6 linked regions of the Xenopus tropicalis genome follow. The protein of the gene in region 1 interacts with the protein of each later gene in a biochemical or structural test. Links are inferred from orthologs where the notes say so. Each region holds a gene or a part of one and is shown in the gene's direction. Other genes may lie near its edges. The genes, in order: skp2, akt1, ccne1, ccna2, cdkn1a and cdc34.

Region 1 (3,500 bases):
ATGTGTGCCTTGGCTTGTTTGTGTGCGCTGTGAATCCTATGATGCCAGGGGGTGGCCCTTAGTACTTAAAATGGCAGTTTTCTATTTAGGATTACCCAATAGCACATACTACTAAAAAAGTCTATTTTTATGAAAGTGGTTTATTTAGATGAAGCAGGTTTTACATATGAGCTGTTTATGCAATATATTTTTATAGAGACCTACATTGTTTGGGGGGCGGGGGGGGTATAGTTTTCGTTTAACCCTTGGCTTCCGCAAGGCAGTACCTCTGAATCAAAGTGTGTGTTATAGCCCCACCTCTAGGATATGACATCATCTGTATAAGCTGTATGTTCTAAGCATGTGTATGACATGGCGATCTGCTGGCCTGGGATGTGGGGGACATGTTATTTACCTGTGGGTAAGCTTCTCAGTTGTGTTGTCTGTGTTGCAGGTTGGATGAACTGAACCTGTCGTGGTGCGACTTTGAGGCAGAGCACGTAAAGAGCGCCGTCAGTCACCTGCCCAGCAGCCTAACGCAGTTAAATTTCAGTGGCTACCGGCAGAACCTGGAACTCTCTGGTACGCACTACGTATTGGTATCTTTATGCGCAGGTGTAATGTAAGAACAGCAGGCAGAACTAGGCACTGACATGATAGCCCCACACTATATAAGGTTCCTGTGATTGGCCCCTCCGACTGTGCTACTGGCAGGGGCTGTTAGGACACACCCACCCCTTAGCTACAACATGGACAGGAACAATAGTGGATCCTTGGGAGAATAAAGGGGCCATTTTTAAAGTTCATTATCATCTTTAGCCCAGAGTGAGAGCCGACCTGCATGGTTCATCATTGCCTACAGGGGGATTTTTGCTTATGCCATTTGTCTTCTGTAACTGTCACAACGCTACAATTCTTCCGCAAACATTTTTATGCTTTCCCTTTTTTAAACATCTAATTTTGGCTCCCAGTAGGTTCTCTGATATAAATTGTTGTTGGGGGGTGTAGGTTGCCCTCCTACACGACTGCCACAATAAGGTGGCAAATATGTTCTTAATCAGACTGGCTCATTAACCCCTGTAAACTGCCACGTGCTCTGTGTGACCCTATGCTATTTGTTCTGAGTCTTATGGGCCGCCCTCAGACAGGCTGACTTTGGCTCTATCAGTGCCATATTGCTCCCAGCAAGAGAGTAAGGGCAAGAGAGTAAGGGCCGCGCTACCCTATAGGGAGGTCCAGCTGAAGTCTCACTGCTGCTTGCAGTCCTCCAAGGAATTTTCCTTCCTTACAAAATAATTTGTAGTCTGCACCAGTAGGTTTGGCTATAGGGCTGCTGTTCTTACTCACAAGTACATCAGCCACATGATACTGTAGCTACTCATTCTTTGGCCGGCCCCATTTCCACAAAATGAAGGAGCAGCTTTGTAAGATATTTGGCATTGGCCCTTGTGCAGCAGCGACAAGATTTAATCTCACTGGAGATTTTAATTTCTGGTTATTAGTTGCCCTTAAATGCCTTGGGGAGTGCTACTGGTCCCATTCACATGTTGCACCAGGTGTTAACTCTTTGTGCATCTGTAATTGTGCATTTTGTAGCCGCACCCCCACGTCAGTACACACAGCACATAACGTATATCTCCTTTACTTCTAGATGTGAAGACGCTCGTGGCCCAATGTCCTGACTTGACAGACTTGGATTTAAGGTAATGTGCTGTTTTACAACAAATATATATCTTCTATCTCTGAACCCACCAAGCTTATACTTAAATGTACCAGTCTGCAGCCCTAGTGGCAGTTGAAATGTATTTTTGTCACAGTTATCATTTTGGATATCAATATAGGAAGCTATCACTTGTGAACAAACATGGAGAGCTGTGCTGTGCACTAATACATTGCACTCTTATGCATTAAAGGGATAGTGAAACATTACAGGTTTTACCAGGAACATGTCACTGTGCCTAGCTCTAGTGGCTCTAGGGTTTAAATAGGCATAGTGACATGCTACTGTTAAAAAGATAAATACATTTTGTGACATATGGCAAACAAGGTCTAATTTGCCCAGATCCTGCATGTTTTAAGACTACAGTGGAGCAATGTCCGTGCTTCTATATAATTACCTCTGTACATATCTGTTCAGACTGCCATGATGAATAAGGTCCCATTTAAGCCATTCTGGTCCGAGAGGTGTGTGGGTTACATGAACAGATAATATAGTGAGAGATGAGCACAAAGCCTGTACCTAAGAACTGGATCTAATTATATTTTCTCCTTCATACAGTGACAGCGTGATGCTGACCGCCGACTGCTTTGCAGTTTTGCAGCAGCTTCTCCATCTCCAGCACCTTGGGCTGAGTCGCTGTTACCAGATCTGCCCGGCTGCTCTGCTGTAAGTACTCTCTATTCCCTCTTCTCTTTAGTCCCCTACTAAAGCATTACTCCATTGTAGTGTGTGCTACTGTATTACTGGTATTGGTGATGCCCTCTGCAGTTTCATTTCTCCATCTCAATCCATTGTTTTTTAGATTGTCTCTCTGAATCCCCATAACCCATTTTATGTCCTAATACTCCAGATTTACTCTTGGTTATGTTTTGCCCCAGGGAGCTTGGAAAGAAGATCCCTCTAAAGAGCCTCAGTGTATTTGGCATCGTGTCAGAAGGCTCCATGCAGATCCTGAAGGAATCCCTCCCACACATAAAGATAAACTGCTCCTACTTCAGTACCATCGGCCGGCCCACTACAGGGATCCGAAAGAGCCGGGAAATGTGGGGCATGAAATGCAAGCTCACGTTGAACTATAAAGACTACTTGTGATGGGGGGGGGATCTCTGCACTAGGACAAAACCAAGAAACTTGAACTTTTTTTTTTAATACCCATCACTTTTTTTATTCGATTTTTTTTTTTTTTTTGTCTTTTGGGTATTTTGTACTGAAGGTGAGAAAAGGAACCTGGGGGAGAACAAGCTGCATGTTGCCTCCCACTGGTTTGAATCAGTGTAGAATACACCTGGCTCCTCTAAAGCCACAGCCGGCTCCTTATACATTCCTACAGGATTCTGATTTGTTACGGGATGAAGGATAGGAAGATGGTCAATATAAACCAATAAGCTGCCATTACTGACTGCCATTGATATGGTACTGATGTGGTTATGTGACGGGATAATGGGAGTCGTAGTTCCACAACAGCGAGTCCTAAATAATACCGTTCACTGGACTAGAACTTCTGTGCAACACAGTTAATGTGTATATTTATGTTGTTCTATAACGATCAGTTGTTAAACTCCCAGAATTCCTCTAGCTGGCCTGTTCTACATGGGGGCACCTTTATTCTTGCATCAAATGACTTTCCCACCAATCTGCAGCAAGCGGAATACAGCAGTGGGACCAGCACCGGTGGTGGGGATTTGGGTTTGCCATTTGTGCTCACTTGGTATCACTGCTAGGTACAACACACATTAAATGGGTGCTTTACCTTTAAATTAACTTTTAGTATGTTATAGAATGTCCAGTTCCTAGCAACTTT
Region 2 (3,500 bases), on another chromosome or scaffold:
TCAAAGTATGAGTTCTCCTTCCTTGAACATCACATCAGACTCACTGGCTTATTTACCAACATGGGGAAGTGACCTATGCCAACTATTCAGTATTTTACTTTAATTATTCTACCTGCAGCTGTCAAGGTAAAGGTAAACAACGGTGTTACTGTCCATATGTTGGTCAATAAGCCCCACTCTACTCACACTTCTCCAGCAATGCATGTGTATTTTTTCATTGTTTCATTGAAGGGAAGAATGGATTCAGGTTATACAACATGTAGCCGACAACCTTAAGAAACAGGAAGAAGAAATGATGGAGGTTCGGTCTGGCGACTCCCCAAGCGATAACTCTGGAGCCGAGGAAATGGAAGTTTCTCATTCGAAACCAAAACATAAAGTAGTAAGTGTCATTTTAATGTAAAATGTACAGGTTTGTAAGTAAGGGCTTTTTTATTAAATGGCACTATATTTATCAACAATGGAGCCAGACAAGTTATCCTAGTAACTCCGCTGTCTTTCAGTGGCCCCACCAAGCACAGAATTCCCTATCCAAATGTGACTAATATTGTATGCAAGGATGTCATACAGCTATAAAACTGATGGTTATATTATGTTATTAGATCAGTAAATTGGCCTTGCTTTATCTGAATTGGTACCATTTAACAGAGTGTTGAATTACAAATACATTTATTTAATCTCAACAGACAATGAATGAATTTGAGTATCTCAAGCTTTTGGGGAAAGGAACATTTGGGAAAGTTATTTTAGTCAAAGAGAAAGCAACAGGAAGATATTACGCTATGAAAATTTTAAAAAAAGAAGTTATTGTTGCAAAGGTAAGTGACCCGGAATTTCTCCAGGAATTCCCTCTCTCTCCCCGGAATGGTTATAGCATTCACTTTCTTGTATCAGCTCTTATTCTCATTCCTCGAGACAGTGCTTGTCTTTGATCTTTCATTCATTTATTTATTTATTTTTAAATAAAAAAAAATGTTTGAGGTATGCAGTGTCCATGGCAAATTCAGTAGCAGGACACCACTAAATTGAAGCAACATGGATATATTATTTTATGAAGATAAAACACACTTGTTATATAAGAGTGGCTGCTTGCCTAATGAATTGATAAATTCCAGTCCACCAGTCAGCAGCTTGGTGAAATCTGCTCTAGAATGAGTATTCTGTACCTTAAATGTTTCTTTTTTTCAGGATGAAGTAGCTCACACGCTAACAGAAAACCGCGTCCTGCAGAATTCTAGGCATCCCTTCCTAACAGTAAGTTTTAAATAGAAACATTGTGTTTTTTGCATTAATAATAAAGTTACCATGGAAAATGTATGTAAATATCTTGTAAGTTGGTTTCATAAGATACCACCATAATTATGGGTGTGTTTTATGGCTATTTGATAGCCCTGGATAAGAACTAGAACCATTGTATTTAATTGAGCTCATTTGTTAACTACTATATAGCCTATAGCCCAATTTCAACTTGAATGGTTGCCCCCATAGCTACACAGCAGCTTTTAAAGGAGAAGGAAAGACTAAGTCACTGGGGGGTGCCAAAATGTAAGCCACCCCCAGAGACTTTAATTGCTTACCTTTTACCCTGGGCTAGTGCTCCTGTGAGAAGAAGGAGTGTTTCCTTCCTTCTTCTGTCTTTGCGCCGGCCCCAGGATTCAGAAGAAAGAAGTAAGAGGAAACACTTGCTGCAGCTTCCCTGGGCTTATGTGGCTTCTCCTAATAGGAGCACCAGCCCGGGGTAAAAGGTAAGCGATTAAAGTTAAAAGGTAAGCAAGTAAGATTTTTACCTTTCGACTGCAGCCACAACAACTGCAGTCCTTGTAGACATAAAAATGAATGCTGTTTACTAATAATTTGTTTTTCTGGCCTATGGAGAAACCAGTATGGAAGCTGTAACAGATTATCCATAATTTTTAAAACAGCATCCTACATTTAACTTGCTGCTATTGCTGTGGCAATATAGTAAATATGTATTATATTTTAATGTTTTCAGTCCGTTCCTCTGAATTTATTGTTCCTTTAATGGCTGACCCTGAGGCTTTCCCCTCTGTGATATCTCATGGGTATGATGGGTGTTGGGCTTGCGTAGTGCAGCTTTTGCAGGGTCAGTTTGTTTAATTTGGCACCAATTTATAAAGTTCAGAAGACGGTTGGTTACTCAACTTTAATTTCTTGTAGGCACTGAAATATTCCTTTCAGACACATGATCGCTTATGTTTTGTCATGGAGTATGCCAATGGAGGAGAGGTTAGTACTGAGTAAATCTATCTTTCTATTGCCATTTCTATTATTTCCTACTCTGCACTGAAGTTGGTGCATTGGGGGAATCGTCTGATATGTGCTGATACTGGGCCATTTTTCATATGAGGCAAAAGAAGGTCAGTTTTGGTGCACAAAGCCGCCAAGGGGTTTTGTACTGGGAAGTGCAGCAGATCAGCTCAGAGCTGCAGTTATCGCCAGAAACCATAATGGCGAACATTTTTGGGTAATGTTTACTCAAGCAGGGCTATGCTTCATATTGATGTTGATGGTAAGTGACTCACAGAGGGGAGCGGGTATTTTCATTACATCAGCATGAAGTTCACCCCCTATGTGCCATAGATTTGACAGTAATATAAATGTGTTATTATATTATTATTATATTGTATATTATTAACCACCATCCTGCCGGTGCTATAAAACAGAAAGCCAATCAATAATCATGTTGTACATGTATTTAATCCACTGCTATAAAACTGCAGTGCTGTCTTTTTCTCCCCCTCCTTTATTTCTTCATATTTTTATGGTACAGACTAAGAAACTGCCCCTTCACCCCTATCTGCGCTATGGTTTGTCTGCAACTAGAGACACTGCACCCAGATCAGCTCTGTGTGTCTGTACCCAGGCGAGGCAGTGTCTCTGGGTGCAGACACCCCATAGATCAGATCGGAGAGGAGGGATAGTTTATCGGCCTGTGCTTATACACAGGCCAAGAAACTGCTCCGTGTTGCCCTGAACCGACTGCACCTATTCCAGTCGTTATAATTCGATCGTTTGGCCCCAGTAAATCACCAGTGGAAAGGCATATGCGTTGCATAGGTTTACTGAAATTGGCCAAAGTTTCCTTGTGAGGGAATGTTGGCAACTTAAAGGAACAGTAACACCAAAAAAATAAAGTGTATACAAGTAATAGCAATATAATGTACTGTTGCCCTCCATTGCTACAACTGGTGTGTTTGCCTCAGAAAGACTACTATAGTTTATATAAGTAAGCTGCTGTGTAGCCATGGGGGCAGCCATTCAAAGGAGAAAAGGCACAGGTTACTTAGCAGATAACAGATAAACCCCCATTATATGGGGCTTATCTACTAGTTATCTGCTATGTAAACTGTGCCTTTTTTCCAGCTTGAATGGCTGCCCCCATGGCTACACAGCAGCTTATTTATATAGTAGCTTTTCTGTAGCAAAAACACCAGTTTTTTGCAGAGCAACAGCACATTATATTTTAATTACTTTAAAAC
Region 3 (3,485 bases), on another chromosome or scaffold:
GCAGATGGGCGAATCAAGATGATGTCTGGAGAAACATGTTGAACAAAGACCGAACTTACCTGAGGGACAAGAATTTTTTTCAAAAACACCCTCAGTTGCAACCTAATATGAGGGCTATTCTCCTTGATTGGCTTATGGAAGTGAGTACTGTTTTTTCCTTTTTCCCTTTTTTTAACTAGCCTTCAAAACTCTACCTTACTTGAAAAAGTCACCTTCAATAGTTTAAGCAAGACCATTGATTTAAATGGCGCTGCTTATTGGAGTAGAGTGCAAAGGTCCTGCAGTGACAATGTGATAAGACCTTGTAAGGTGGTGAGAATTTCTGAATATTCCTCTTCCTCTAATCATGAAAGCTGGAGTGGAGATCTTGATTGATTCCAGAATGATCTGCTTGGGATTGTATTTTAGATTAGTCTAGTTGATATAATACACCAAAGATTATGTAATATGGGGTACAACACTTGCTACACCTAATCACCTATAGCAGTCAATCAGTAGGTAGCATCAACTGGTCACCTGTTTAAAAGCAAACCTCTTGTTTGCTATGGGTTACTGCTCCATGGCAAACTTTGCCAGTTAAAAAATATGCACAGTTATACACAATCACTGCACATACGCAAAACCCAGCCAAAGAATACCAACCAAACAGTTCTTTCACAGCAGTACTGTTTAGCTGGTATTCTTGGATAAGAGGGTTTAGCATATGTACAGTGATTGTGTATAACTGTGCATTTCAAAATTTTAAATCCATTCCTAAATAACTGGAGCTTGCTGGCAAGACTAAAAATTGAGTGAAATAAAATGAAGGGCGGCTTCAAAGTCACAGCAGGATGAATGACCCAAACAATACCCTACAGCAGGGGTCCCCAACATTTCTTACTCATGAGCCACAGTCAAATGTAAAAAGACTTGGAGAGCAACACAAGCATCATAAAAGTTGCCAAATAAGGGCTAAGATTGGCTATTGGGTAGCCTCTATGCACACTATCAGCCTACAGGAGGCTTTATTTGGTAGTAAATCTTTTTTTTTTTTTTTTTTTTTTTTTTTTTTTTATTCAACCAAAACTTGCCACCAAATCAGGAATTCAAAAATAACTACCTGGTTTGGGGGTACTGAGAGGCACTGATGACTGCCCCTACAGCTTGAACTGGTAAATTTTGAGATGGTCTCTGCAGGTGGAGGTTTTCCTTCAAGGAAAAGATGTCATAGGTTATCTTTTTGCCACGGCATTACTTTCTTTGAAAAAAACACACCCTGGAGAGCTGGCAAGGGAAGAGGTACTAGATACACCAGTAGTCTTTTTGGAAGCACTTCCTTAACTTAATAGTGCCATTTTTTTTTCTGGTAGTGCTACCTCTAGAGGCATATGGCCACATCATACAGTACCAAAATTAGACACAAATGAGGTAAAAGCACTTAATACTGTGAAGTGTTCAATTAGGAATTGTCTGGCTGAAATATTAATCTTCAGTGTAAAGTTTTGCAGTCATTTCTGAATAAGCCTTATAATGTAAATTTATACTCCCACAAGCACTTGCAGGACTTGCACATTTTTTTTATTTCATATACTCTGGCATTTTTAAATTTAAAAGCAAGTGCAGCTGTTTTGCATATATAAAATATTAATTGTATTCTCCCCCCCTCAGGTTTGTGAAGTGTACAAACTTCACAGAGAAACATTTTACCTAGGACAAGATTTCTTTGATCGGTTTATGGCAACTCAAAAAAATGTAATTAAAAGTAGACTGCAACTTATTGGAATCACATCTTTGTTCATTGCTGCTAAGCTGGAGGTTGGTAAAGTTTTTTACTTTCTTTTTGGGTAGAGCTATAATGGTCAACTTACCATAAAGTGAGTTCTTTACTTTATTGCAGGAAATATACCCTCCAAAGCTGCATCAGTTTGCATTTATCACAGATGGCGCCTGTACAGAAGATGAGATTACAAGTATGGAGCTGATAATAATGAAGGTAAAGCCTTATGGGTTTTAGGAATAATACATTGCTCAAAAAAAATAAAGGGAACACAAAAAGAAGACATCCTAGATCTGAATGAATGAAATATTTTTATTAAATACTTCACTCTTTACATAGTTGAATGTGCTGACAATAAAATCGCACATATATTATCAATGGAAATCAAATTTATCAACCCATGGAGGTCTGGATTTGGAGTCACACTCAAAAGTGGAAAAAAAACACTATAGGCTGATTCAACTGTGATGTAATATCCTTAAAACAAGTCAAAATGAGGCTCAGTAGTGTGTGTGGCCACGTGCCTGTATGACCTCCCTACAATGCCTCGGCATGCACCCACACAAATGACTCGGGTAGTGCAGCTCATCCAGGATGGCACATCAATGCGAGCTGTGGCAAGAAGGTTTGCTGTGTTTGTCAACGTAGTGTCCAGAGCATGGAGGCGCTACCAGGAGACAGGCCAGTACATCAGGAGACGTGGAGGAGGCCGTAGGAGGGCAACAACCCAGCAGCAGGACCGCTACCTCCGACTTTGTGCAAGGAGGAACAGGAGGAGCACTGCCAGAGCCCTGCAAAATTACCTCCAGCGGGTCACAAATGTACATGCTTAAATGGTCAGAAACCGACTTCATGTGGGTGGTATGAGGACCCGACTTCCACAGGTGGGGGTTGGGCTTACAGCCTTAACACCGTGCAGGACCTTTAGCATTTGCTATAGAACACCAAGATTGGCAAATGCGCCACTGGGGCCCTGTGCTCTTCACAGATGAAAGCAGGTTCACACTGAGCACATGTGATAGATGTGACAGAGTCTGGAGATGCCGTGGAGAATGTTCTGCTGCCTGCAACATCATCAGCATGACCGGTTTGGCAGTGAGTCAGTAATGATGTGGGGTGGCATTTCTTTGGGGGGCTGCACAGCCCTCCATGTGCTTGCCAGAGGTAGCCTGACTGCCATTAGGTACCGAGATGAGATCCTTAGACCCCTTGTGAGACCATAAGCTGGTGCGGTTGGCCCTGGGTTCCTCCTAATGCAAGACAAGAAACTAGACTGGAAGACTAGACCTCATGTGGCTGGAGTTTGTCAGCAGTTCCTGCAAGACGAGGCATTGATGCTATGGACTGGCCCGCCCGTTCCCCAGACCTGAATCCAATTAAGCACATCTGGGACATCATGTTTCGCTCCATCCACCAACGCCACTTTGCACCACAGACTGTCCGGGAGTTGGCGGATGCTTTAGTCCAGGTCTGGGAGGAGATCCCTCAGGAGACCATCCGCCACCTCACCAGGAGCATGCCCAGGCATTGGAGGGAGGTTATATAGGCACGTGGAGGCCACACACACTACTGAGCCTCATTTTGACTTGTTTTAAAGACATTACATCAAAGTTGAATCAGTAGTCTGTAGTGTTTTTTTCCACTTTAATTTTGAGTGTGACTCCAAATACCTCCATGGGTTGATAAATTTGATTTCCATTGATCATTTTTGTGTGATTTTGTTGTCAGC
Region 4 (4,230 bases), about 130 Mb from region 1:
AAACTGTAGCATCGCCGGGCCCCCTTTGAAAGTAAAAATTGCGGCCCTGCCTACGGCACACCAGTCAACATCTCGCAGCACACTAGTGTGCCGCGGAACAGCGGTTGAAAAACGCTGCGAGTCTAATCAAAGCAGGCACAGTCACACGTGGCATATGGTCTGCTTCACTCCTCTGTTTGGTAAGCAGGTCGAGAGTGGATTTGCTCCTGTACCCATGCATTTTTGGGTTGATCACTCCTCTGTGTAGCTGCACTGAGGCTAATGCAGTGCCTGTAAGTGGAGCTACACAAAGGATAAGGCTGGTGCCACACGGGGCTTGCGTAAAAACGCAGACCGAGAATCAGCCCCTCCGCTGGCATCAGACACCTACCTTATCTGCACCCTGAAGCTTTGTTGTGCCCAGGTGCAGGCAGACGTGGTGGATACCAGCAAACAAATGTGAAAGTTTGCATTTCACAGCCAATATTCGCCACGTCTGCCTGCTCCCTTGTGGCAGTAGCCTATAGAAGCAGATCCGCTTCTCTCTGACAAAACGCGTGAAAGGAAGCAGACCATACACTACATGCGACTGTGCCCTTAGGGGAGGGATGTACTACAACAAAAATACATTATCCACACTAAAAGGTTAGAAAAATAAATGTGTCGCATAAAGTTACCAGTAGGCAATGTTCCCTCTAATTTCTTCATGGCTGTGTGCACAAAAAACTTTTTTGTGCATGCACTTTTTAAAACCATGTGAGCTTTAAAGTACCAAATTATGTGATTTCACACAATTATCTTTATGCGCACAAAAATTTATTATGGGATCTCAAAATGAGTGTGCTTAGAGTGACCATTGGGAGTAGGTACCATCAGCCCTTGGCTAAAGTTCCCATGTGGCCTCAAGGCTGAAAACTGCTCCTGTATGGCTACCTTGCCTGTGCTAACTGCTTGTTTCAATTTACTGCACTGCAACAAAACTGCCCACATTAGGGCACATATAACGACTTCCACAGAGGCTTCAAAACTTGCAATATATCAGAAATTATTAGCTAGATATAAAAATTATATGTCTAAAACAAACAAAAAAATATGTTGGCACAGGTGCTTTAACACTAATTAAGAAAAAAATACAAGACTTGCTGAAATGATGTCACTAAGAAGAGTAGATCGCGTTCTTTTCTCGCGTTCTCTTCCCGGCTTCCGTACAATCAGTGACGTCTCCCCGCGCTGCCCTGTGATTGGCTGATTTCAATAGTCGCGGGCTACTTGAATTGAGAAGACTGCAGCTGCTGTAGTTGAAGGGATTTCTAGAGAGGCGCTTTGAGAAGCGGCGGGAGTGGGACGGTTTAGCATAGTTTACCGGCATATAAGCGGGAAGGGGCATTAAGCTGAGCTGCTGTAGGCACACGGTCACCAACCCTTTTTTACTTACACCCCTCAAGGGAGGACAGGGGACGTGCAAACGTGCACTCTCCTACCGGCGCCAGTCCTTCCCCCGCTTTCTTCCTCCCTCTGGATCGGTATCCGCGGTATGGCCGACCATCTGCTGCGTGATGAGAATCAGGAGAATGTTCAACCCCGAAAACCCCTTGCCCCCGTGGGCGGGCGCACCGTGCTGGGGGTGCTGCAGGAAAACCACAGAGGCCGACAGACCCTAAAAGCGAGCAAGCCGGCCCTCCAGCAGGCTCAGGTATGAGTATGGGGCCCAGGGCTACCAGGCACAATGGCTAATATACCCGGGAAGCGTGGACGTGTATTTAAAAGGCTGCCTGTCCTGTAGATCCGGTCCCGCCAATTCCCTAGATCGTAACTGATCCCAGAGTCCCTTCCGCGCTTGTGTAAGTCTCTCGGTGGCCTGGCTCTTCTCCTGTGTATCTTCTACAGTTCCCAACATCTTCCAGGGTCTGGGGTTTGTAGTTCAGCTGCCTATCCCTGTTCGCTCCCCATTGCCTTCCTGTCTGAGGGCTGAGTACTATAGGATCGTGGCCTGACCTGTTTAGGCCGCCATTTCGCTGCAGTGTATAAGGACCGTGACCTGAAGGTCGGAGCCCGACTCATGCGTCCGGGAGATAATGTCAGGCCAATGATTGCTATTATGCACTTAGTGCCGTGTCTGATCCACTGGTGGGCATGTGCCCTGGCAGAAATGTCAGCCATTCCTTGGTTTCATGCTGTTTGTCACCATGGGCCCATTAAATTCTTGTCTTTCCTTCATTTCCCAAATCATGTTACCAGGCATATTTGCCCCACAAGCTTTCATGGTATTGCATGTATAGGCTTTCAGAAATTTATCCTGATTTTTATCGGTCTGTTGCTCATGTCTTTTACATTAGGGGGGACCTTGGGAGATTATAACCTAGTAATGTCACCCACCCTTTGCATTGTACTTATTGTCTGGTGACTGAGGCTTGAGCCTATTATGTGCCTTGCCCATGTGGTCACTTTGTCCCATTTAATGGCAATATATGCCGTGCCCTACTGATCTTTAGTCTGTGATGCACATTGCCACTGACTCTTTGTTTTAGGGCTGAGTTGCAGCATGGTGCAGATCCTCAGACCTTCCACTGGACTTGCTAAGCAGGCACATGCAGGTTACTTGAGATTTATTATTAGATTAAGTCTCTAATGCAGTAAAAGCAGTAGTAGCTGAGAAAAAGTAGCTTCTATTGCCTCGGTGTGTCTTGATACTTAGGATGAAGACACACGGAGCTACTTGGTAGCACGGCTACTGAATGTCGTAAAATACCCTGCCACAGACAAAATTGAGAATTGCGACTAATCTCTCCGTTATGCCATCCCACCGGCTAGAATGTAAATTGCTGGTGGGATGGCATACGCATCGCTGCAATGTCTTGAGAGGGAACTTTGAGACTTTGCAACAACACGTATGCCATCCCATCGGCGATTTACATTCTAGCTGGTGGGATGGCTCCCCATGTGCCACTGCCCTAAATGATCAGCGTGGTCTGTTTTAATTGCCATGACAAGTAGCTGCTCCTCCTAGTAGCTCAGTGTCTTCACCCTAAAACACACGTACAGATAATATCCGTAAATGATCTGCATTGTCTTTTAGTAGCTGTATGTATCTTCACCCTTAGGTTTGTGGGTGACTGTCAAGTCAGTGTACTTGAAATGCCAGGGTGTACTTTCAGTTGAAGTCAAAGTATGGTGCCAGGTGCTCTTGACTTGGGACAATAACACCCCATGTTGCGCTCTTGGGCAGCAAAATTACTAACTTTCCTTTGAATAACATTATAAATGCTGAATCACTGATACTTAATTTGCATTACGGCGCAAAATTGCTCATTGCTGCATCTTTTAGGAATAACATAAGGGCACCCTGGGGGGTGTAGCAATTATAATACTTTTCAAGGTAGTGGTACAGCAGGCTAATGCTTTCAGAACATTAATTTTCTTCACTCATTCTTAAGGTATTATATTGTAAAATATCACTTGTTTGACTTTCATTTTAGGCTTTGTCTGTAAATCACTTGGGCGTAAATGATGAGAATTATGGCAAGGTACCGGCTGGAAAAGCAGCCAGCAAACAGCCTACTTTTACAATCCATGTGGATGAGCCAGACTGTACAAATAACAGAAGAAAGCCTGTTCATAAAAAGACCGTTCAAGATGAAAATCTACGACAACTCAATTCAGTTCTGGGTTCCATTGGAACAAGAAAACCATTGGAACCTATCCACATAGCAATGGAAACTAGCTTTGGTATGTTGGTTTTGCTCATTGTGTTCTCAGCTGCTGTTGCCAACTGGGATTGGGTTTTGTCACTTGCTAAATACCCTACTGCCCCCCCCCCACACAGCTACAGCACATGCTAAAGCATGTATGTTCTGACTCTCCAGGTTCTCCTATGGATGTGTCGCTTGTGGATGAAGAACAAAAAGTAGTCGGTTGTAGTAATGTTCCTGATTATGCTAAAGAGATTCACACATACCTGCGAGAAATGGAGGTAAATTTATATCTTAGTAAAATCTGTCAAGTGAAACATTCTTCCCTAGTATAAGGCTAAACACATGCACTGATGTTCTCCATTTCTTAGTGTAACAAAGCTCCAGCTTGCTTAGGGAAGTTATTTGCAAGCAAATGTTAAAAATACATACCGTTTAGATCGCAGTTAGTGCTACCTAACAACCTAGATGTTTGTATAAAGCCATAAGGCTGCTTTCCATTGACAGCAGCTGTAAGTAGTTTGCACTGCAAATGCATGTACTACATTAGTCATCTGCCTTA
Region 5 (3,500 bases), on another chromosome or scaffold:
ATCCGTCTTATATCTTAAATGAATTGCTCTCTATAGTAATATATAGGGCCAAATTCCAATCAACAAGAATATATGGACGAGATTAAATTTGAGGCTAGAAACATTGGGCCCGATTCACTAAAGTCCGAAATAAGGAGTGCTATATATAGCATGCGTTAAAAATCTTATCACTTCTTATTTTTCGCTCGATTCACTAAAAGGACACTTGTCATAATTAAGAAGCGATGTTCTTGGCGTTATTTATCTTGCGACGACATATTTTCAAGCAATATATTACGCAGCGCACAACATATTACGCAGCGTGCGATATTTTACGCAGAGCGCAATATATTACCCACGTAACCATTACTTTCTGAAGACTACCGTTCTGAAAATTTTGCGCTCTGCGTAAAATATAGCGTGCTGCGTAATATGTTGTGCGCTGCGTAATATATTGCTTGAAAATATGTTGTCGCAAGATAAATAACGCCAAGAACATCGCTTCTTAATTATGACAAGTGTCCTTTTAGTGAATCGAGCGAAAAATAAGAAGTGATAAGATTTTTAACGCATGCTATAAATAGCACTCCTTATTTCGGACTTTAGTGAATCGGGCCCATTTTCTCCTAATTCAGTTTTCATGTAATAAACAGTGCAATACATTTTTCTTATTGAATTGCATCTGAAATTGATTTAGGAGATAAGCTTTTCTCATAAATGTGAATCTGACCCATCATTCTTTATGCATCAGGGAAAAATCTCTGTTCCACAAGAAATAATAAATAACTTACAATTTTTCCATTTATGTGTGTTGTTGTCATTATCAGACCTGCTCCTGAAGCCTTTATTCAATATGGCGTTTATCAAGTAGGGCTATTCAGTAACACTATTCTTTCATTAATGCTATATAATAGTGTACAGTGTTCACAGTTCTCAGTTATTTGGCTAATGAGTACCTTAATTACAAATAAGGCTAAATGTAAATGATGGAAAACTTGTATAATTTTGCCTCTACAATGCAAAAGTATTTACCTCTTATCGGTGTTGTGGCTGCCACTAAGCACACGTGATGCAAGAATACCAATGCAAAACTTGTACCTCTTACCATAGGGATTCAAGTTGCAGTTGCATCATTATGGGCATCACACTGACAGGGCATGTTGTTTATCTTACACTCCTTCTGACTTCAAATGCCCAGAATAGGGTGTGGCCATGTATTTTATGACTGAATAATGATAATGCGTAGAACTAGGACACCAATGGCCCACCAGAGAACATGATATAGCGGGCCCACCATTCAGAGCCCTTAAACATTTTCTTCATTTTCTTCTGGTATCCCCATGTTTGAGAGGTTTATTGTTAAAATGTAACTGATTAAAAGCCAAGAATATTGCAGCACAGCAACCAATGTGGCAGCTTCCAATACGATAGATTTAGGAATAATTCTATGTGGTTTCTGTGCACTTGTGTGTGTTTTATTAGTTGCATTATTGCTGCACAAGCTGGCTAAGCGCTAAGAGCAATACAGTATATACAGACAGACTGATTGATGTTGACTGAAGGGAACAATATTTACTGTATTTTTAATGTTGCAACAATTGTTTTTCTGCCCTTTCAGAGAAAATGCAGTCAGCCATAGCCATCCTCAAGCAAGCATCTGGAAATAAGGAAAAGGCTTGTCGAATGCTTTTTGAAGCTGTGGACCATGAACAGCTAAAAACTGAATTTCATGAACTTATGCAGAGATCCAACGAGGAAGCAAAAGCTAAATGGAACTTTGACTTTGTCACTGAAACTCCTCTTGAAGGGCAATATGATTGGGAGAAGGTAGAAGACAAAACCTTGAATTGCAATTCGCAGGAAAGTGAAAAAGAAAACCAGTGCCAAGATGTAGCCGCAGAGATGTGTAACATTAACCAATCCCATAAAGCTTCCCAGAATTGTGAAAGCAGCGATTCAGGCAAAAGGAAACAAAAGCTGATCACAGGTAATTGTAACAGTTCCACATAGCAGTTAGAATATAAATATTATCAGAGAGTATGCTCTGTAGCAGTGATCTCAAACCAGTAGCTCACAAGCATGTTAACCAACCCCTTTTATATTGCTCCCAGTGGTCTCAAACAGGTGCTCATTTTTGAATTTCTAACTTAGAAGAGAGACTTCTGACTTTTTCCATCTTCCAGTTTAAAACACTATTGGGGTTATATGATAAAAGACCCATAGCAACCAATTAGCAGGTAGAATTAACTGGTTACCTATTTAAAAGAAAACATATTGGTTGCTTGGGGTAACTGCTACTGGGCAAACTTAGCACATTTTATTACACATGGCGGCATGTGTACTGCCAAACAGAGCCTGTAGCTTGCCAGTCCACATTGGGCTACCAAATAACCTACCACATCCCTACTTTTTTATATTTAAATGCTGCTCACAGGTAAAAAAAGGTTAGGGGCCCCTGCTTTATAGGATATACACTCATTGCATCATTAGTGCTGCTCCAATGTATATGCTGCATTCTTTCATTAACTGGTTTTTGCATGACTTGACATCAAGTATTGCAAGTATTCTTAGCACCCATTATTATACTTAGCAACCATTATTAATATTTAATCTCTGCTTCTGTTTTTGCCTTAACAGATTTTTATCCTGTCAAGCGGAGATGTTCACCTAAACCCAGCCCCCGCGATTGATCACTATGCTGTTTGTGAGGTCCTTTCTTTGGACCTGAACAAATTTTCATTTCTCAGTTTAAGGTGTCAGAACGCTGGATTTTCATGCTCTTATACAAAACCTGGACTTTAATGGACATTACATAGACTCCAGAGAACTTCAAAATCCTCACAGATTGTACCTCACTATTACTTTAATAATTTAAACAACCGGAAGAAGAGATAAGCATTAGCTTTAGTGGTGTATGTTTGCTGAGTTTCTAGTTGTTGCAAAATACTTTTTTTGTAATTCTAAATAGTAAAACACTGCGGTTTTATAGATATATGTATATAAATGATACTAAGTTAATGAAAATGGCTAATATTTAGAAGTTTGCAACAGATTTTGACAAGATTCAGAGCAATATTCAGTAATGCACTAAAATGTTAGTCCATGTGTGCAGGCCACTTTGCTTTAGCACTCAGCATCATACCTTGGGGCTTTTTAAAGGGGACCATACACTGGATAATACTCTTCAGTATCCTACCAATCAGCCCTCTGGCTGAATTGGCGGCTACCATATGAGTGGCCATTTACATGTATGGCTGCCATACTAGTGTTCCATTTGTTTAATTAAACAATTGAAATAGCAGGAAGTGAAGAGGAGCTACAAATTTTCTTTACTCCTTCATCTATTGATGCATATTGCATCAGCAGATGAACAGATCAATATGTCAGAATAATATATCTGGGCATGTAAAGCCAGCTTAACTGTGCTAACACTGATATCTTTAAAATACTACCACCTGGAGGGTGGGTGGACATCATTTTCACGTCCAGTTGTTAAATGTTTTTCTTGCACTTACAGAGTT
Region 6 (3,969 bases), about 92 Mb from region 1:
GTCCAGTATATAAAAACTTCCCAACTTCTTGCCATATTAATTTTTAAGGGTTTAGATCTCCTTTAACAAGGAATGTAACTTTAAAGCAAGCACACCCTGTGACTGTTGGGAGCCTGCTGAATAATAAGTAGTTTCATTATATGTATATGAAAGATATTATTTCTAATTTCAAGGTGTGCCAAAATGATTTTTCAGGGCCTAGTAACTTCTACTTATGCTACTGTTTACAACACCGTACATGGAGTAGGAAGCAACTAGTCTTTAACTAGTAGTAGTGAAGTGGCATTTTACAAAGTGTAGCACCGGCCTGATGGAAAGTGTTGGGGGCACCCAATAAATTGCCACCCACTGAATCTAAGTTTCCCTGTCCTTTAAAGTGCACCTATGACCCTTTAACTGCTTCTCCCACCAGAGGTGCAGGCTAATAGACGCAGCACTTTGGTTGAGGGAAAACGATAGTTTGGTTTTTAAAAAATACAGCAACTGCCATTTCTAGGCTGCCCGCACCTGAATGAAGCTCCCAGTACAGGCAACCATGTTGTTTGCCATGCGTGGGCATAATAAATGCGCCTTTCCACTTGCAGATGATGCGCATGCGCCTGATCTAGGCGTGGTGGATGCAATTCACCCTCCATCACAAGCATGCACATAATAAGCAACTTGTGGCACTCACTCATTATGCACATTGTGAGAAATGAGGCAATATGGCTGCCCACACCTGGAGCACTCTTCTGCTGCAGGCAGCCTAGCAATGGTAGGAGCTTTTTTTTTTTTCACAAAAAGCTATTGTTTCCCTAACCTCTGATGAGGGAAACAATTTGAGGGTGATAGGTGCCCTTTAAGGTGAGCTGTATTAGAAGGTTATATTCTAGGAGATTAAAGGATATATTCACTGTTCATTCAGAAACTTTGTGTCAAGTTGAAGTTTTCTACTGCACTACTAAATAAAAGCTCTGTAAATCACGTTTCCCCACTAGAAACCAACATCTAGCTTTGTTCCCATCAGCCTCAGCAAGACCCCTCCTTCCTCCGCTCAGATTACACTTCCCTCGCACCAGTGCGTCACAGTGTTCGTGGGCTTGTGGGATTTGTAGGCTGCTCCTCCCACAACGCCGTGGCTTCACTTGCAGTTTCCGGCACCCGTTACTCTTCCAGCCAGCAAGTTAATTCGCAAAGCGGCTCCGTTGTGCCGTAACATGTCGTAATAAAGCCTTTAGTCGTCTAGCAGCCCCTTCTTGCTAAAACACCAAAAGCCTACTGATCCCATCCTGCCCTACGCGGAGGACGCTGTGGGCTCCTGGTTAGAAAGCGGGGAGCGGAACTACCATGGCCCGGCCGGTGGCGCCGGTGCCCAGCTCTCAGAAGGCCTTGATGCTGGAACTCAAGGGGCTACAGGAAGAGCCGGTGGAGGGGTTCCGGGTCACCCTGGTAGATGAGGGGGATCTGTACAACTGGGAGGTGGCAATCTTTGGCCCCCCAAACACCCTCTATGAGGGGGGGTACTTCAAGGTGAGGGTTAGGTGTGTGTGAAATGGTGGAGTTCGTGATCATAGGGGCCTTGGGGAGGGAAAGCCACGCTGGGGGGTATTTAAAGAGGCAGTAAGTAATAGAGGCGTGGGTGGGTATTGCGTACATCGCTGGGCCTTTCTGCACAACAAGCTTTCCTTTGTTTATGTGACTCCTACAGCCATAGCCGTAACTTGCCCGAAACTAATGTTTCACATGAAACTCAACCAGCCCTCAAAGCTACCCCAAAACTAAAACTTACTGAAAGAGTGTGGCACTACTAAATCTTTAATCCTGTTTTCTGCGAGTTGTAGTCCAACAACAGCTGCTAGGCCCCAGCCACAGGATGCACGGTGTTAGAAAGCAATAAAGGCCTTTGTGTAACAGGAAAACGCTCTAAACTCTTCATCTAACTTCTGATTTGGCACTTTGTGTTTGTGGAGATACCCTGGGTTTATATGTATTCATCCTGTGCCTATTTCATAAAGATTTTCAGAAGATTAATCAAACATAGGCGTTCCACTCTTTTACATTTTAGTATGCCATACTAGCTACATGTATGAAGCCTCATTCTTTTAAGGATTAAAGGGGTCTCTATACTTAGTTTTGGGCAGTTTTGTTAAGATGTGCCTTCTATAGTGTGTGTGTATATATATATATATATATATATATATATATATATATATATATATATAATATTAGTTTCAAGGGACTACTTATTCCTAGACATTTGCACAGATCAAGAAATTTAATAGGGGTTTATAATGAGATGTTAAATGGCTAGAACAATGTAATTGTGTTTTACAGGGGTGGTTCACCTTTAAGTTAACTTTTAGTATCTTATATAAAGACCTATTCTAATCAACTTTTCGAATATTCTTCATTATTTGTTTTTCATAGTTTCTTAATTTATTTGCCTCCTTGTCCTAACTCTTTGCAGCTTTCAAATGGGGTCACTGACCCCTGAGCCAAAAAAAAATCATACTAAAAAGTTAAGTCAAAGGTGCACAACCCCTTTAAAGGGGTTGTCCACCTTTTACTTAATTTTTAGTATGATGTAGAGCGTAATATTCTGAAACAATTTGCAACTGGTTTTCATTTTTTATTTGTAGTTTTTTTTAATTATTTCAGTTTTTGGTTGTCTCCAGCTTGGAGTTTCAGCAGCTATTTGGTTGCTTGGATCCAAATTACCTAAGCCACCATGGTGTGATTTGAATAAAAGACTGATATATAAATACGAGAGGGCCTGAATAGAAACATAAGTAATGTACAATAACAGTTAAACTATAGCTTCGCAGAACAATAGTTCTTTGGCTTGGGGGTCAGTGACCCCCCTTTGAAAGCTGCAAAGAGTAAATAATTCAAAAACTATGAAAAACATAATGACTAATTGAAAAGTTGCTTAGAATTGGCCTTTCTATAACATACTAAAAGTTAACTCAAAGGTGAACCACCACTTTCAATATATGTATAATATACATATTATTAGGGATACACTGAATCCAGGATTTGTTTCGGCGTTTGGCCAAGATTCTGCCTTTTTCAACAGGATTCGGATTCAGACGAATCCATGTGCCTGGTTGAACCAAATCTGAATCCTTAAAATCACTATTTCTTTATGTAAACCCAGAAGTTGAACATTTTTATTCCTTTTATAGGTTAGTTTTCAAATGCAAATTAGAGTTTGGTTCGGTATTAGGCCAAATCTTTTACAAAGGTTTGAATCATAAAACTCTGGAATTGGTGCATCTCATTATCCAGCCTCCCTGGAACTGAAAACAGACCTTATTTTTTATTTACTTATCATTAATCTGATGACAGCTGAGCTTGCTTACCCATCATGCAGTTCTATAAGTATGAGATCTATTATTCTGAAAGCTTTTGGACATAATTCAAATCTTTTATTGGGGCCTCTTGCATGATAGCCACATTCAGAGTGCCAATGCACCCTCATTCAATAGGATTTTCAAACTTGCCGTATTGAAAATTGATCAGCTATTGGTCAGACGGGCCCTATACACGAGCCAATAAGCTGTTAATTTGGCCTGGAGGCACTGACCTAGCAGCTTTTATTGGCCCGTTTATGGCCTGCTGAAGCATTTAAAAATAAAAACCAAGATGATCTTTTAGCCAGAAACATGGATTTATGTTAGCTTAGTTATCATAAAGCACAAGATACTGTTTTATTGTTACTACAGAAAGAGAGCAAACAAGTAAAAAATTAATAAATTACACTTTTTTTTTTAATAGACTGAAATTTGGTTGATCTACTCTTAGATATGTTGCTTGAGAACCATTATTTTGTGCTAATCGGAGCTACGGTGTGTTATAACAAAGGCATGGATCTCAACCATACTCACTTGCTTGTTAACCATTACATGTTCTTTTTGTCCTAGGCCCGCTTAAAATTTCCAGTTGATTACCCCTACTCTCCTCCTGCGTTTCGTTTTTTGACAAAGATGT

What was found.
Region 2: of the proteins of skp2 (region 1) and akt1, one has a biochemical effect on the other in vitro, tested with the Homo sapiens proteins (4 studies listed by BioGRID, with this or other methods). The link is inferred for Xenopus tropicalis from reciprocal best matches to the Homo sapiens genes SKP2 and AKT1.
Region 3: the proteins of skp2 (region 1) and ccne1 form a complex in vitro, tested with the Homo sapiens proteins (2 studies listed by BioGRID, with this or other methods). The link is inferred for Xenopus tropicalis from reciprocal best matches to the Homo sapiens genes SKP2 and CCNE1.
Region 4: the proteins of skp2 (region 1) and ccna2 are reported together in a solved structure, tested with the Homo sapiens proteins (2 studies listed by BioGRID, with this or other methods). The link is inferred for Xenopus tropicalis from reciprocal best matches to the Homo sapiens genes SKP2 and CCNA2.
Region 5: of the proteins of skp2 (region 1) and cdkn1a, one has a biochemical effect on the other in vitro, tested with the Homo sapiens proteins (3 studies listed by BioGRID). The link is inferred for Xenopus tropicalis from reciprocal best matches to the Homo sapiens genes SKP2 and CDKN1A.
Region 6: the proteins of skp2 (region 1) and cdc34 form a complex in vitro, tested with the Homo sapiens proteins (3 studies listed by BioGRID, with this or other methods). The link is inferred for Xenopus tropicalis from reciprocal best matches to the Homo sapiens genes SKP2 and CDC34.

What each region holds. Positions count from the first base shown.
Region 1 is NC_030677.2:198,011,720-198,015,219, forward strand, and holds part of skp2 (S-phase kinase-associated protein 2), read left to right. Parts: intron 1-433; coding exon 434-561; intron 562-1,630; coding exon 1,631-1,682; intron 1,683-2,257; coding exon 2,258-2,365; intron 2,366-2,577; coding exon 2,578-2,791; 3' UTR 2,792-3,500. UniProt on the Homo sapiens protein: Substrate recognition component of a SCF (SKP1-CUL1-F-box protein) E3 ubiquitin-protein ligase complex which mediates the ubiquitination and subsequent proteasomal degradation of target proteins involved in cell cycle progression, signal transduction and transcription.
Region 2 is NC_030684.2:99,690,021-99,693,520, reverse strand, and holds part of akt1 (RAC-alpha serine/threonine-protein kinase), read left to right. Parts: intron 1-231; coding exon 232-382; intron 383-686; coding exon 687-818; intron 819-1,188; coding exon 1,189-1,254; intron 1,255-2,178; coding exon 2,179-2,247; intron 2,248-3,500. UniProt on the Homo sapiens protein: AKT1 is one of 3 closely related serine/threonine-protein kinases (AKT1, AKT2 and AKT3) called the AKT kinase, and which regulate many processes including metabolism, proliferation, cell survival, growth and angiogenesis.
Region 3 is NC_030680.2:71,329,770-71,333,254, reverse strand, and holds part of ccne1 (G1/S-specific cyclin-E1), read left to right. Parts: intron 1-4; coding exon 5-140; intron 141-1,647; coding exon 1,648-1,794; intron 1,795-1,876; coding exon 1,877-1,972; intron 1,973-3,485. UniProt on the Homo sapiens protein: Essential for the control of the cell cycle at the G1/S (start) transition.
Region 4 is NC_030677.2:66,833,913-66,838,142, forward strand, and holds the start of ccna2 (cyclin-A2), read left to right. Parts: upstream 1-1,430; 5' UTR 1,431-1,513; coding exon 1,514-1,672; intron 1,673-3,455; coding exon 3,456-3,705; intron 3,706-3,842; coding exon 3,843-3,949; intron 3,950-4,230. UniProt on the Homo sapiens protein: Cyclin which controls both the G1/S and the G2/M transition phases of the cell cycle. Functions through the formation of specific serine/threonine protein kinase holoenzyme complexes with the cyclin-dependent protein kinases CDK1 or CDK2.
Region 5 is NC_030678.2:54,653,604-54,657,103, reverse strand, and holds part of cdkn1a (cyclin-dependent kinase inhibitor 1), read left to right. Parts: intron 1-1,597; coding exon 1,598-1,966; intron 1,967-2,616; coding exon 2,617-2,669; 3' UTR 2,670-3,500. UniProt on the Homo sapiens protein: Plays an important role in controlling cell cycle progression and DNA damage-induced G2 arrest. Involved in p53/TP53 mediated inhibition of cellular proliferation in response to DNA damage.
Region 6 is NC_030677.2:105,629,684-105,633,652, forward strand, and holds the start of cdc34 (ubiquitin-conjugating enzyme E2 R1), read left to right. Parts: upstream 1-1,169; 5' UTR 1,170-1,326; coding exon 1,327-1,509; intron 1,510-3,902; coding exon 3,903-3,969. UniProt on the Homo sapiens protein: E2 ubiquitin-conjugating enzyme that accepts ubiquitin from an E1 ubiquitin-activating protein, and catalyzes its covalent attachment to other proteins by an E3 ubiquitin-protein ligase complex. In vitro catalyzes 'Lys-48'-linked polyubiquitination.